3 linked regions of the Nothobranchius furzeri genome follow. The protein of the gene in region 3 binds, or shares a complex with, the protein of the main gene of each other region. Links are inferred from orthologs where the notes say so. Each region holds a gene or a part of one and is shown on either strand. Other genes may lie near its edges.

Region 1 (3,395 bases), on a different chromosome or scaffold from region 3:
CCTCTTCCTCTGCAGGTAAGTGAGTGGGAAGCAGTGGTTTATGGGAAGACTGAGGACCAGCTCATCATGACAGAACAGGCTCGTCAGTACCTGAACCCCTTTTCATCGTCTGGCTCTACCTCAAGGGCTCTGGTGCTTTAAAGGCCATCCCCTTCAGCTAGCAGCATTACATCCGACTCAAACGTCCACCAAGTCCCCGTGGGAGACAATCCACGGAGCAGAAACACCGTCCACATACAGGCACGGCTGCTGGTACTGTTAACGCATGCTTAGGTCACGTAGTTCATACTGATCAGTAGCTTCAGACTTATACAGTGGGGGAAAAAAGTATTTAGTCAGCCACCGATTGTGCAAGGTCTCCCACTTAAAATGATGACAGAGGTCAGTAATTTTCATCATAGGTACACTTCAACTGTGAGAGACAGAATGTGAAAAAAAAATCCATGAATTCACATGGCAGGATTTTTAAAGAATTTATTTGTAAATCAGGGTGGAAAATAAGTATTTGGTCAATAACAAAAATTCAACTCAATACTTTGTAACTTAACCTTTGTTGGCAATAACAGAGGTCAAACGATTACTATAGGTCTTTACCAGGTTTGCACACACAGTAGCTGGTATTTTGGCCCATTCCTCCATGCAGATCTTCTCGAGAGCAGTGATGTTTTGGGGCTGTCGCCGAGCAACACAGACTTTCAACTCCCTCCACAGATTTTCTATGGGGTTGAGTTCTGGAGACTGGCTAGGCCACTCCAGGACTTTCAAATGCTTCTTACGGAGCCACTCCTTTGTTGCCCGGGCGGTGTGTTTGGGATCATTGTCGTGTTGGAAGACCCAGCCACGTTTCAACTTCAAAGCTCTCACTGATGGAAGGAGGTTTTGGCTCAGAATCTCACGATACATGGCCCCATTCATTCTGTCCTTAACACGGATCAGTCGTCCTGTCCTCTTAGCAGAAAAACAGGCCCAAAGCATGATATTCCCACCCCCATGCTTCACAGTAGGTATGGTGTTCTTGGGATGCAACTCAGTATTCTTCTTCCTCCAAACATGACGAGTTGAGTTTATACCAAAAAGTTCTACTTTGGTTTCATCTGACCACATGACATTCTCCCAATCCTCTGCTGTATCATCCATGTACTCTCTGGCAAACTTCAGACGGGCCTGGACATGCACTGGCTTCAGCAGCAGAACACGTCTGGCACTGCAGGATTGGATTCCCTGCCGTTGTAGTGTGTTACTGATGGTGACCTTTGTTACTGTGGTCCCAGCTCTCTGCAGGTCATTCACCAGGTCCCCCCGTGTGGTTCTGGGATTCTTGCTCACCGTTCTCATGATCATTTTGACCCCACGGGATGAGATCTTGCGTGGAGCCCCAGATCGAGGAAGATTATCAGTGGTCTTGTATGTCTTCCATTTTCTGATAATTGCTCCCACAGTTGATTTTTTTCACACCAAGCTGCTTGCCTATTGTAGATTCACTCTTCCCAGTCTGGTGCAGGTCTACAATTCTTTTCCTGGTGTCCTTCGAAAGCTCTTTGGTCTTGGCCATAGTGGAGTTTGGAGTCTGACTGTTTGAGGCTGTGGACGGGTGTCTTTTATACAGATAACGTGTTCAAACAGGTGCCATTAATACAGGTAACTAGTGGAGGACAGAAAAGCTTCTTAAAGAAGACGTTACAGGTCTGTGAGAGCCAGAGATTTTCCTTGTTTGAAGTGACCAAATACTTATTTTCCACCCTGATTTACAAATAAATTCTTTAAAAATCCTGCCATGTGAATTCATGGATTTTTTTTCACATTCTCTCACAGTTGAAGTGTACCTATGATGTAAATTACTGACCTCTGTCATCATTTTAAGTGGGAGAACTTGCACAATCGGTGCCTGACTAAATACTTTTTTTGCCCCACTGTATTTTAACATATTATTTAAAAGCCGACATAACGATACTGGTGTGTCTCGCCCCGTTGCTGTTATGAGATAAAAACAACACTCATGCTGCCGTTTTTAAAATCACACTAAATCACACTTTTAAATACAACACCAATCATTGTTTTTCATTAAAAAAACAGCAGCGTGGTTGTTGTAACAGTATGTGGGAATGTTTTCTGTCAGTATTGCACTACTGAGATAATTTTGCTGCTGAGGAAGGAGCGTGATTATTATTATTATTTTTTATGAGCAGACTGGATAGCACTTCTGAATAACAACACAACGTTTCCTTTCCAAGGCCATAAAAAAATCAGCTGAATGTATTTCATTGCAATGGAAGAACCTCAAACATGGAAGGGTACTTTATTGTTTATTTCTAATTGTTTTATTTATTTTTCAGTTTTTAAAGCTTAGATATTAATATAAATCAGACAACATAAGGTCTAACTGCTGACAAAACAGCCTAAAAACTCTCTTGCTCTAAGCATTGCTACCTTTTATTTTTCAACTTTCAGTCCCGGTGATTCATTCTGACTTCATACCACAAAAATCAAGCATTTGGCTGAGAAGGATTATAGTTTTCATGTGAAGGCTGTAGGTTCTATTTATTTACTATTTATTTATTTCTTTGAAAAAGAAAACCTTTAAGAAGAATTATTGAAGAATTTTATCAATCTTTTCACTTTTAAAATCAGGATTGGGCTACAGTTCATTTTCCTGCACTGCCATTCATTTTAATTTGAACTTCTCTTGATCGTACGAGATGTAGAAAATAATGTTGTAGATATGTGAGTGATGTTGTAACATAGATGAGGCTTTTTCCTCACCTTTAAATTAAATGTCGCTGTTAGGTAGCAGGACACCATCTCCGACCTCTAATCATGGACAAATTGCACTTTTTATTCATTTGAATAAAAATTTTAAGTTCATTTGAAGGATGTAGCTCTTGTTTATGTGTTTTAGATGTGTTTCTGTCTATGTTAGTTACTGCTGCTTGATTTTCTCCCGTTTGGCTGTGAAAAGGTGTGTTAAGTTCTCCTTGTCCAGTATCTCACTAGGCTGTTGACGACCAGACAGCTATGCAAACTTGAAAGAAAGTCGACACATTTTCAATTTAGAACAAGTCTAAATCGGTTCTTAAGTTATTCTTTTACGAAGTTTTATATTGTCAGTTCATGAGGGATGTAAGATGTAACAAACCGCTATTTAGTCAAGTCAAAATTTGTTTAACCCTCCCACCGTCCTAATGGGTGTGACCCTGTGAGGAAAGCTGACCATTGAGCGGGGTTGATGGTTTATCCCTTGGGTCCATGTGGCAGGGGTGAGGAGTGAGCACCACCTCACCCCTGCCACATTGACCTCAAGGGATAAATCACCAACCCTGCTCGATGGTCAGCTTTCCTCACGGGATCACCCATAAAGACAGTGGGAGGGTTAAAAAGCACATTTAAGAAATATCTGC
Region 2 (3,500 bases), on a different chromosome or scaffold from region 3:
TTGGCTATGCCAATAGAGTGAAGCATTTGTTTAAGTCTGTAAGACTTTATGCTGTGATGTGACGAGAAGGGTCGATGCCAACTTGCTAACAGTCCTGTTGTTTACAGGCTGGGTTTTTTTTTTTCCTTGGGTTTGATCCCGACTCCTATGATCACTCACTTGGAACGAGAACTGGATTTCTTCCTGACGAGGGAGATGGCGAGCCTTAACCACTGAACGAACCAGGACATCTCAAGTAACTGAAGAGCAGACTGCTCTCTTCTGTGAACAATCTCAACGGTGCGGTAGGAAAAAATCGCACCACCGGACTCTGACTTTCACCCCAAGCGTGGGGATTTGACTTGACGCCGGCTGACTTGTGACTCATATGATCAAATCTCATACCGAGCATTTTACTGTTGTCGATTGTTTTCATCTGTTTTTGTGTGTTATCTTTATGCGTTATATTTCCCATTATTATTAAAATTTAGTATATAAACCGTTTCATGCTATACCCGTGACTCCAGTCATTCTTAAACAACCTCCAATTCTCCCCGAACCTAATTATTGGCCCATTTGTTTATTTTTTCTTTTAATTATCTTATTGTATCCTGTAATCCGGTTACACAAATAAAAATAGCAAGGGCTCACCTGTCATTTCCATTCCAACAGCATTCAAACTTGTCAAAGATGCAGTCGTTCTCATAAAGTGAACACAACTTACTCCTGAGATATTCATGCACCTGTTCAAACACAACAATCAGAAAGTAACATTTCGTTTAATCACGTTAAGAAAACACCAAAGTGTGCCCACGTCATCAGTTACAGACCTGATATGTCTCTACTGGTCGCGTTTCCATGTTGAGATCCCAAACTTTGACCGACAAGTAGTCACGTGTCATCATGTAGCGCCCGCTGTGGCTGAACTTCACATCAGAGATGGATGAGATGATCTCAGAAAAGAACGAACGGTTGTTTGGATCTTCAGGCTCCTCAAACACTTAAAAGGCAAACACATTCATGTTGATAGATTATACAGATGTAAACTGAATAACAAGGGCAGGAAACAGTTTCTAAATAACCGTGCAACAGTTTAAAAATTTCAGTGCTGAAAAGATGAATGACTTAATCAGAGTAAGAAAAAGAAATTAAATAAAACACTTTAAAATGTGCAAAAAGCTAAATTTGGCAGCAGACCTGCAGCACAAACACAGACTTACATTTTGTGTGTCTGTCACACAGAGCTGATGCCCTCATGTCACACAAACGGATGGTTCCCTTGCTGCTGCTGTAAACAAAGGTGTTGCACTGGTTAGGGTGGAACTCCGCCGCTGTGATCACTTCTGTCAGCTCCTCCATGTTGGCAGGTTTAATGTCAACAATATCTGAAGAACTCAGGTTAAGGTGAAAGCCAAAACAGATATTTCTACAACTGAAAAGAAAATTCTTATACAAACTTAGATGTACAAATGAACACTGCGGTTTTTAATGTTGCTCCTGTGGAATGTGCACTGTTTTGAGATTGCATCTTACTATGAATGCTTCAGAAAATCCTGCAGAGTTCGTACTTATGCTTCCTCACTTGCAGACATTCCTGCATGGATCCTTTCTCCTCCTGCAGCTAAATCAGGAAATTGTGTTTGAAAAATCTTTTGATGCCGATTCCAGATCAAAGGTAGGAAAACGATTAGAAAGAGCAAAAAATTGTTAAAAACTTTGAGGATTCAAAAAAAGAAAAAACTCAAATCTTAGCTTGGAGACATCTAGTGGTGATATAAAAATATGACAGGCGTGGTTGTTGGTGCCAGACGGGCCGGTCTGAGTATTTCACAGTCTGCTCAGTTACTGGGATCTTCACGCACAACCATTTCTAGGGATTACAAAGAATGGCGTGAAAAGGGAAAAACATCCAGTATGCAGCAGTCCTGTGGGCGAAAATGCCTTGTTGATGCTAGAGGTCAGAGGAGAATGGGCCGACTGATTCAAGCTGATAGAAGGGCAACTTTGCCTGAAATAAGCACTCGTTACAACCGAGGAATGCAGCAAAGAATTTGTGAAGCACCAACATGCACAACCTTGAGGCGGAGGGGCTACAACAGCAGAAGACCCCACCGGGTACCACTCATCTCCACTACAAATAGTAATGAAGAGGCTACAATTGGCACGAGCTCACCAAAATTGGACAGTTGAAGACTAGAAAAATGTTGCCTGGTCTGATGAGTCTCGATTTCTGTTGAGACATTCAAATGGTAGAGTCAGAATTTGGCATAAAGAGAATGAGAGCATGGATCCATCATGCCTTGTTACCACTGTGCAGGCTGGTGGTGGTGGTGTGATGGTGTAGGGGGTGTTTTCTTGGCACACTTTAGGCCCCTTAGTGCCAAATGGGCTTGGTTTAAATCCCACAGGCTACCTGAGCATTGTTTCTGACCATGTACCCATCCTCTGATGGCTACTTCCATCAGGATAATGCACCATGTCATAAAGTTCCAGTCATTTCTAATTGGTTTCTTGAACATGACAATGAGTTCACTGTACTACAATGGCCCCCACAGTCACCAGATCTCAACCCGATAGAGCATCTTTGGGATGTGGTGGAACGGGAGTTTCGTGCCCTGGAAGTGCATCCCACAAATCTTCATCAACAGCAAGATGCTATCCTATCAATATGGGCCAACATTTCTAAAGAATGCTTTCAGCACCTTGTTGAATCAATGCCATGTAGAATTAAAGGGACTTTACGGTGTTTTGAATTTTTATGTTCGCGAATGCTCCCTCAGGTCAAAAGCGTAACAGCAGCTTCAATAGTAGGCTCGTGCACGAGGCGCGCATGCTGTACGTGCACACTCCTTAACGAAAATAACAGCTGAGACAGTCCCGAGTGTGTGTGTGTGTGTGTGTGTGGCCCAAAGGACAGAGGACAGGACAACATGCAGCTAATTAATTAAATGATTTGGTTCTGTACCTTTCTCTTCAGCACAGCCAACAAAGGTTTATGATGGGTCAGTCTTCCTGCATGCTCAGATAATTCCCTTCCCTTGCTTGAAAAATTAATCCAAAATGAAAGTTGAACCCACATCTTTTTTATCTGTGAATTCAATGCCGTTCGGTGAGTCTCAAATAAAAATTTGAGCATCTTACTGTAAAAAAATATACCATCAATGTAAAAAATAAACTCTTAACTAAACCATATTCACATTGAGAATCAAGCCCGGGTCTTCTGCACGAGAGTCCAACATCTTACTAGGTGAGCTAAAGCACCAGTGACGTCATTTGTATCTGTAACATTTATATCGTTGATAACAGCTGAAACAATGGTCAAAGAACGGTTCGGAGCGAAAATGGCTATTTTGTTGCTAATTTGCAGGAAATATCTAGAAGAAAGTAGCTAAGGGTCCTCAGAAATGTAGCTAGGTTTATCACTAGGCGTTAGGAACAGCGACAAAGTCGCTGAGTTGGCACTACCTCTCTCTCTGCTGCTAAAGCTACTGATGGCAAATGCTACAGGCGATGCCTGAGCG
Region 3 (4,177 bases):
AACTGCACTGCACAGTTTTTACCTGACAACGGCACAACACTGACAGTTTTAGGCAGAAAATTTAAATTTTTACTAAAATGCACTAAAGTGCAAAATTACTGACTACACGTGTCTACAGCATGATTAGACACACATTTATATAGTTTATCAGAAAAAAAGTTGATTTGGGGGTGACTTTCTCTTTAAACTAACTGTAATATTTAAACAATAAATCATTTGAAGTTAGAAATAAAATAGTTTAAAGCTGGTTTTAAGGGTGTGTTTAGTCTTGTAATAATCAAGTCTGGTAACTTTCTACGTATGTTGGGTTTAGCAGAATGCTACTTTAGACCATCGGTTAGAGGTTTGTTTTTATAATGAAGACTATCACAAATTTGGTGGTGTTGCTGTGAACATCCTTTATGCTGTTATTACACTATATTTTTAAAAAGATGTGGTTATGGGTTTGACTTTATTGTCTCTTAATTCATCAATAAACTGAATCTGAGCAAAAATGTTTTGAGTTTGTGTTCATTCATTCTTTTAAATGGACAATGTTCCATTTACTATAAAACAACCAAACATGTCTTATATAAATAATTATTTTACTTTAAATTAAGATAGCTTGTGTTATATTTATGGGTTTTTAGAGGTTTTGCAACCGGTGGATCTGGAGCCACATGATTCTAGAAATGCAAGTGGGGGCCAAACAAAAGCACTTCAAGAGCTACAAATAGCCCCCAACCTGCAAATTGGACATGGAGAGAAAAATAGATATGTTGTTGGTGTTTTTAACAAAGTTTTTTTAACAGTGTTTTGAGCATTGCTGTTTTTTTTTTATTAAACAGCTATTTCATTAACATTTTAGAGTATTAAAGACAATAATTCTTGGCAGGCTCTGCAGTCTGCATCGTTCTAAAAATTGTATTTTATAGGGTATACTACATAATATGTTAACTCATTCCCTTTGTAGACAACAATAGGAATAAGAACACTTAAAAGGTCACCTTGTAACATTCGTTTTATTCTAAGACTCAATCCGATTTTGTGGATTGTATTTTGTAAAAAAAAAATCACTTTTTTAAACCTTTGATTAGATGAGCAGGAATTCTATAATAACAGAACACTGCCCTCTGCACGTTAGTTAACGAATTGCTACCAAATTGTTATTGCATACTTCTTTTCTCGACTTCTCGGCATATTTTGTAATTTTACTTTTTAAAGTTAATTATTTCAGACAGCTGTAACTCCATAAAAAGGTGGTTTTAATTAGGAGCGACCTCCTGAAGGAGACCGAGAGGGGTAGGGCAAGAGGGCGAGAGGGCTTCGCATGTCTTGACTTTGATTGGTCAGAGCAGCAGGGTTTTCGCGCCAACGCACTGCATTGTGGGAACTGTAGGCGGAAGTGGGATGCTCGTGGAGCCTGTTTGTTGGTGTTTGGGAGAGGGCAGCGTTTTGCTGGTTAACGTCTGGCTCTGGGGGTTGTTTAAAACTTGATGCTGTAGCTGTACATTGGAACGAATGCGGGGTGACGAGTCGTCGGACTCCGAGTCGGGCAGGATGGAGGAAAGTTCAGTCCGAAGGAGTTTGGAGACATTGTGTCAGGAGCTGAACATGGACGAACAGACCGCTACTGAAGCTATGGACAACTTCACAGCCATATGGAACACATACACTCTGGAGGTGAATAATGTTCTTTAATAACAAGTTACTGTCGAATTAATCAGCCACAACTTTCATCCTACATAGAACTGGATTTCAGTGCTGACACACACTGAGATTAAAGGGATTCAACAACTGACCTGTTTTTAATCTTCCATCCAGGAACAGAAACATATTGTCGAGCAGTCGATCGACGGCATTTGCAAACGTCAGACAAAACCGGACAAAACAAAACAATTATTTTTAGTTTATGACTGACTGATTATTAACAAATATTAAAATCCTCCTGAAATTACATAAGAATAATAAAAAATAATCAAATTGAAATATTTTTTCCAGGTAAAATATATTTTACCGTAAAACAACTATGACTGTCTTTTATTTGTGGTAAAACCATGGGTAGAACATGGTAGTGACATCTGAGTGAATAATAAATCCGTTTTATTTAAATGGATCGGCTTTATTTAAGGTCTGACCAATAATAACAATGTTTAAGATTTCTTTAGTCTGATAACAAAGCAGCAGATGTTCTTTTTCAATTAATATCAGTTTTATTGTTCATACATACTATTGACATCTTAATTAAAAGCAGTTTCCTTTTAACATCGTATCAGAAATCACTATATAATCCTGATTTTTGTTGTTCACCCTGATTAGTATCAGAATTGTTTGTTTGTTTGTTTTTGCCTTTGAATCCGTGTGACAGGAACATAGACAACTGTAGTGCAGTCAGTTTGAAGCATCGTCTAAAATGACGGGACATCAACAAAAGTTGTGCAGTGTTTGTTAGAAGACTTCTGTCTGAGGGATGGGTGTAAACACTGATTATATCCTCAGGGGTCAAAGGTGATTCACGGAAAGAAACGTTCACACAGAGAGGTGTTACAAGGTTATTTTATTCAAAACGATTCTAATCCTAATCTAGGTACAGATTATGAAAGATTAGTTTGTACCTGACAATTTAACCTCCTACAGCTAATGATGCTAGTTGGCTTTGTTTACATCGTTACCTATTAATAATAATGCATTTTATTTAAAAGCGCCTTTCTGGTCACTCAAGGACACTGTACAGAATAAAAACACAAATCATTCAATAAGTAAACATACGTAAACATCAACAAACAAGGCTCTCTAAAATTCAAAGTTGATATGTGGTAATGAAGAGGTGGGTTTTGAGTTGTTTTTTGAATTCTGTGAATGAGTTAATGTTCTTGATGAGAGGGGGAAGGGAGTTCCAGAGTTTGGGAGTGGTGCCGCTGAAGGCTCTACTCCCCATGGTGCTGATACGGAAGGAGGGCACAGAGAGATGAATGGAGGAGGAGGACCTGAGGGAACGGGACGAGGTGACGATGTGAACGAGATCTGTGAGGTAGTGAGGGGCGAGGTTTTGGATGGCCTTGAAGGTGAGAAGGAGAATCTTGTAGTTAATCCTGGTGTGCACTGGTAGCCAATGGAGTTGTTTGAGGATGGGGGTGATGTGATGAGAGATGGGAGTTTTAGTGACGATGCGTGCTGCTGCGTTCTGGACCAACTGGAGCTTACGGAGGATTTTCTGAGGGAGGCCTGAGAGAAGAGAGTTGCAATAATCGATACGCGATGTAACCAGACTATGGACAAGAATAGAAGTAGAGTGGACATCAAGGGAGGGGCGAAGACGATTAATGTTACGAAGATGGAAATAAGCTGACCGTGTGATGCTATTGATATGAGATTGGAAGGATAGTGTGCTGTCTAGGATGACACCCAGACTCTTGACCTGGGGAGAGGGGGAAACTGAATTAACCTCAAATGATTCAGTTATGCTTTTAAACATAAGGCCTCTAACCAAACAGATGCTCCGTTTATCTTTGAGTTTATCTGTCATTCAGAAATGGTTGCTTCTCTGATTTATTAATGAAAAATATTTGTTTGAGAAATTGACCTTCAAAAATACTAATAGTCTGTCTGTATTATAAAAACATATCTCCAATAGATGATAAAATGCTAGTCGTTAAACTCTTCTGAATTATAAATAATTGGACCATTCAGCTGTCTCATTAATTAAAGATGGCAGAATTTTGCGTGCAAAAATCAAACATAGTAATTAAAATGTGCACATAGGTTTTCAGTCATGTTCCGTGTAGTTCTGTTTGCTGTTTCTGCAGCTATTCTTGTATCTGCTGAGTCGCTCTGTGTACTGGAAATAGTGGAGTATTAGTTTCCCAGTTTGCTGTTTATGCTGAGTGAAGACAATTAAAGTGATTTGCTGTTTGTCTGCAGGGGGATGTGGTCCACTGGCTGGCCTGCTCGCTGTACGCTGCCTGCAGGAAGGGGTCCATTCCCACTGTGGGAAAAGGGCTGATGGAGGGAAACTGTGTCTCGCTCACCAGGATCCTTCGCTGCTCCAAACTCAGGTTCAGCGCTATAAACACATGTTTTGTCTCTACGATCCTTATTCTGGTATCTCTGTGTTCTGGTTTGTTCTTAGGGGTTTCTAGAAAACAAATGCAGTTTTAAATAGGGATGCTCTTATCCGGTCCAAGCTAACGTGTCGCCT

Evidence for each region. The genes of interacting proteins can lie anywhere in the genome.
Region 1: rbl1 (region 3) and mybl1 share a complex: the UniProt entries of both Homo sapiens proteins name them as parts of the DREAM complex. The link is inferred for Nothobranchius furzeri from reciprocal best matches to the Homo sapiens genes RBL1 and MYBL1.
Region 2: the proteins of rbl1 (region 3) and ppp2r2aa are in contact, whole or in part, in a cryo-EM structure (PDB 9C6B), measured with the Homo sapiens proteins. The link is inferred for Nothobranchius furzeri from reciprocal best matches to the Homo sapiens genes RBL1 and PPP2R2A. Residues at the interface, in NP_002886.2 of Homo sapiens: Ser615, Pro616, Leu617, Met618, His619, Pro620, Arg621, Val622, Val625, Arg626, Ser629, Leu632; in NP_002708.1 of Homo sapiens: Lys88, Tyr178, His179, Asp197, Leu198, Met222, Glu223, Glu224, Leu225, Thr226, Glu227, Val228, Ser247, Arg278, Ser279, Phe280, Phe281, Ser282, Glu283, Ile284, Ser287, Tyr337, Phe343.

Annotation. Positions count from the first base shown.
Region 1 is NC_091747.1:51,681,174-51,684,568, reverse strand, and holds part of mybl1 (myb-related protein A), read left to right. Parts: intron 1-15; coding exon 16-141; 3' UTR 142-3,395. UniProt on the Homo sapiens protein: Transcription factor that specifically recognizes the sequence 5'-YAAC[GT]G-3'.
Region 2 is NC_091757.1:37,259,148-37,262,647, forward strand, and holds part of ppp2r2aa (serine/threonine-protein phosphatase 2A 55 kDa regulatory subunit B alpha isoform), read right to left. Parts: intron 1,365-3,500; coding exon 1,200-1,364; intron 980-1,199; coding exon 810-979; intron 723-809; coding exon 631-722; intron 1-630. UniProt on the Homo sapiens protein: Substrate-recognition subunit of protein phosphatase 2A (PP2A) that plays a key role in cell cycle by controlling mitosis entry and exit. Involved in chromosome clustering during late mitosis by mediating dephosphorylation of MKI67.
Region 3 is NC_091743.1:73,535,670-73,539,846, reverse strand, and holds the start of rbl1 (retinoblastoma-like protein 1), read left to right. Parts: upstream 1-1,377; 5' UTR 1,378-1,500; coding exon 1,501-1,662; intron 1,663-3,900; coding exon 3,901-4,034; intron 4,035-4,177. UniProt on the Homo sapiens protein: Key regulator of entry into cell division. Directly involved in heterochromatin formation by maintaining overall chromatin structure and, in particular, that of constitutive heterochromatin by stabilizing histone methylation.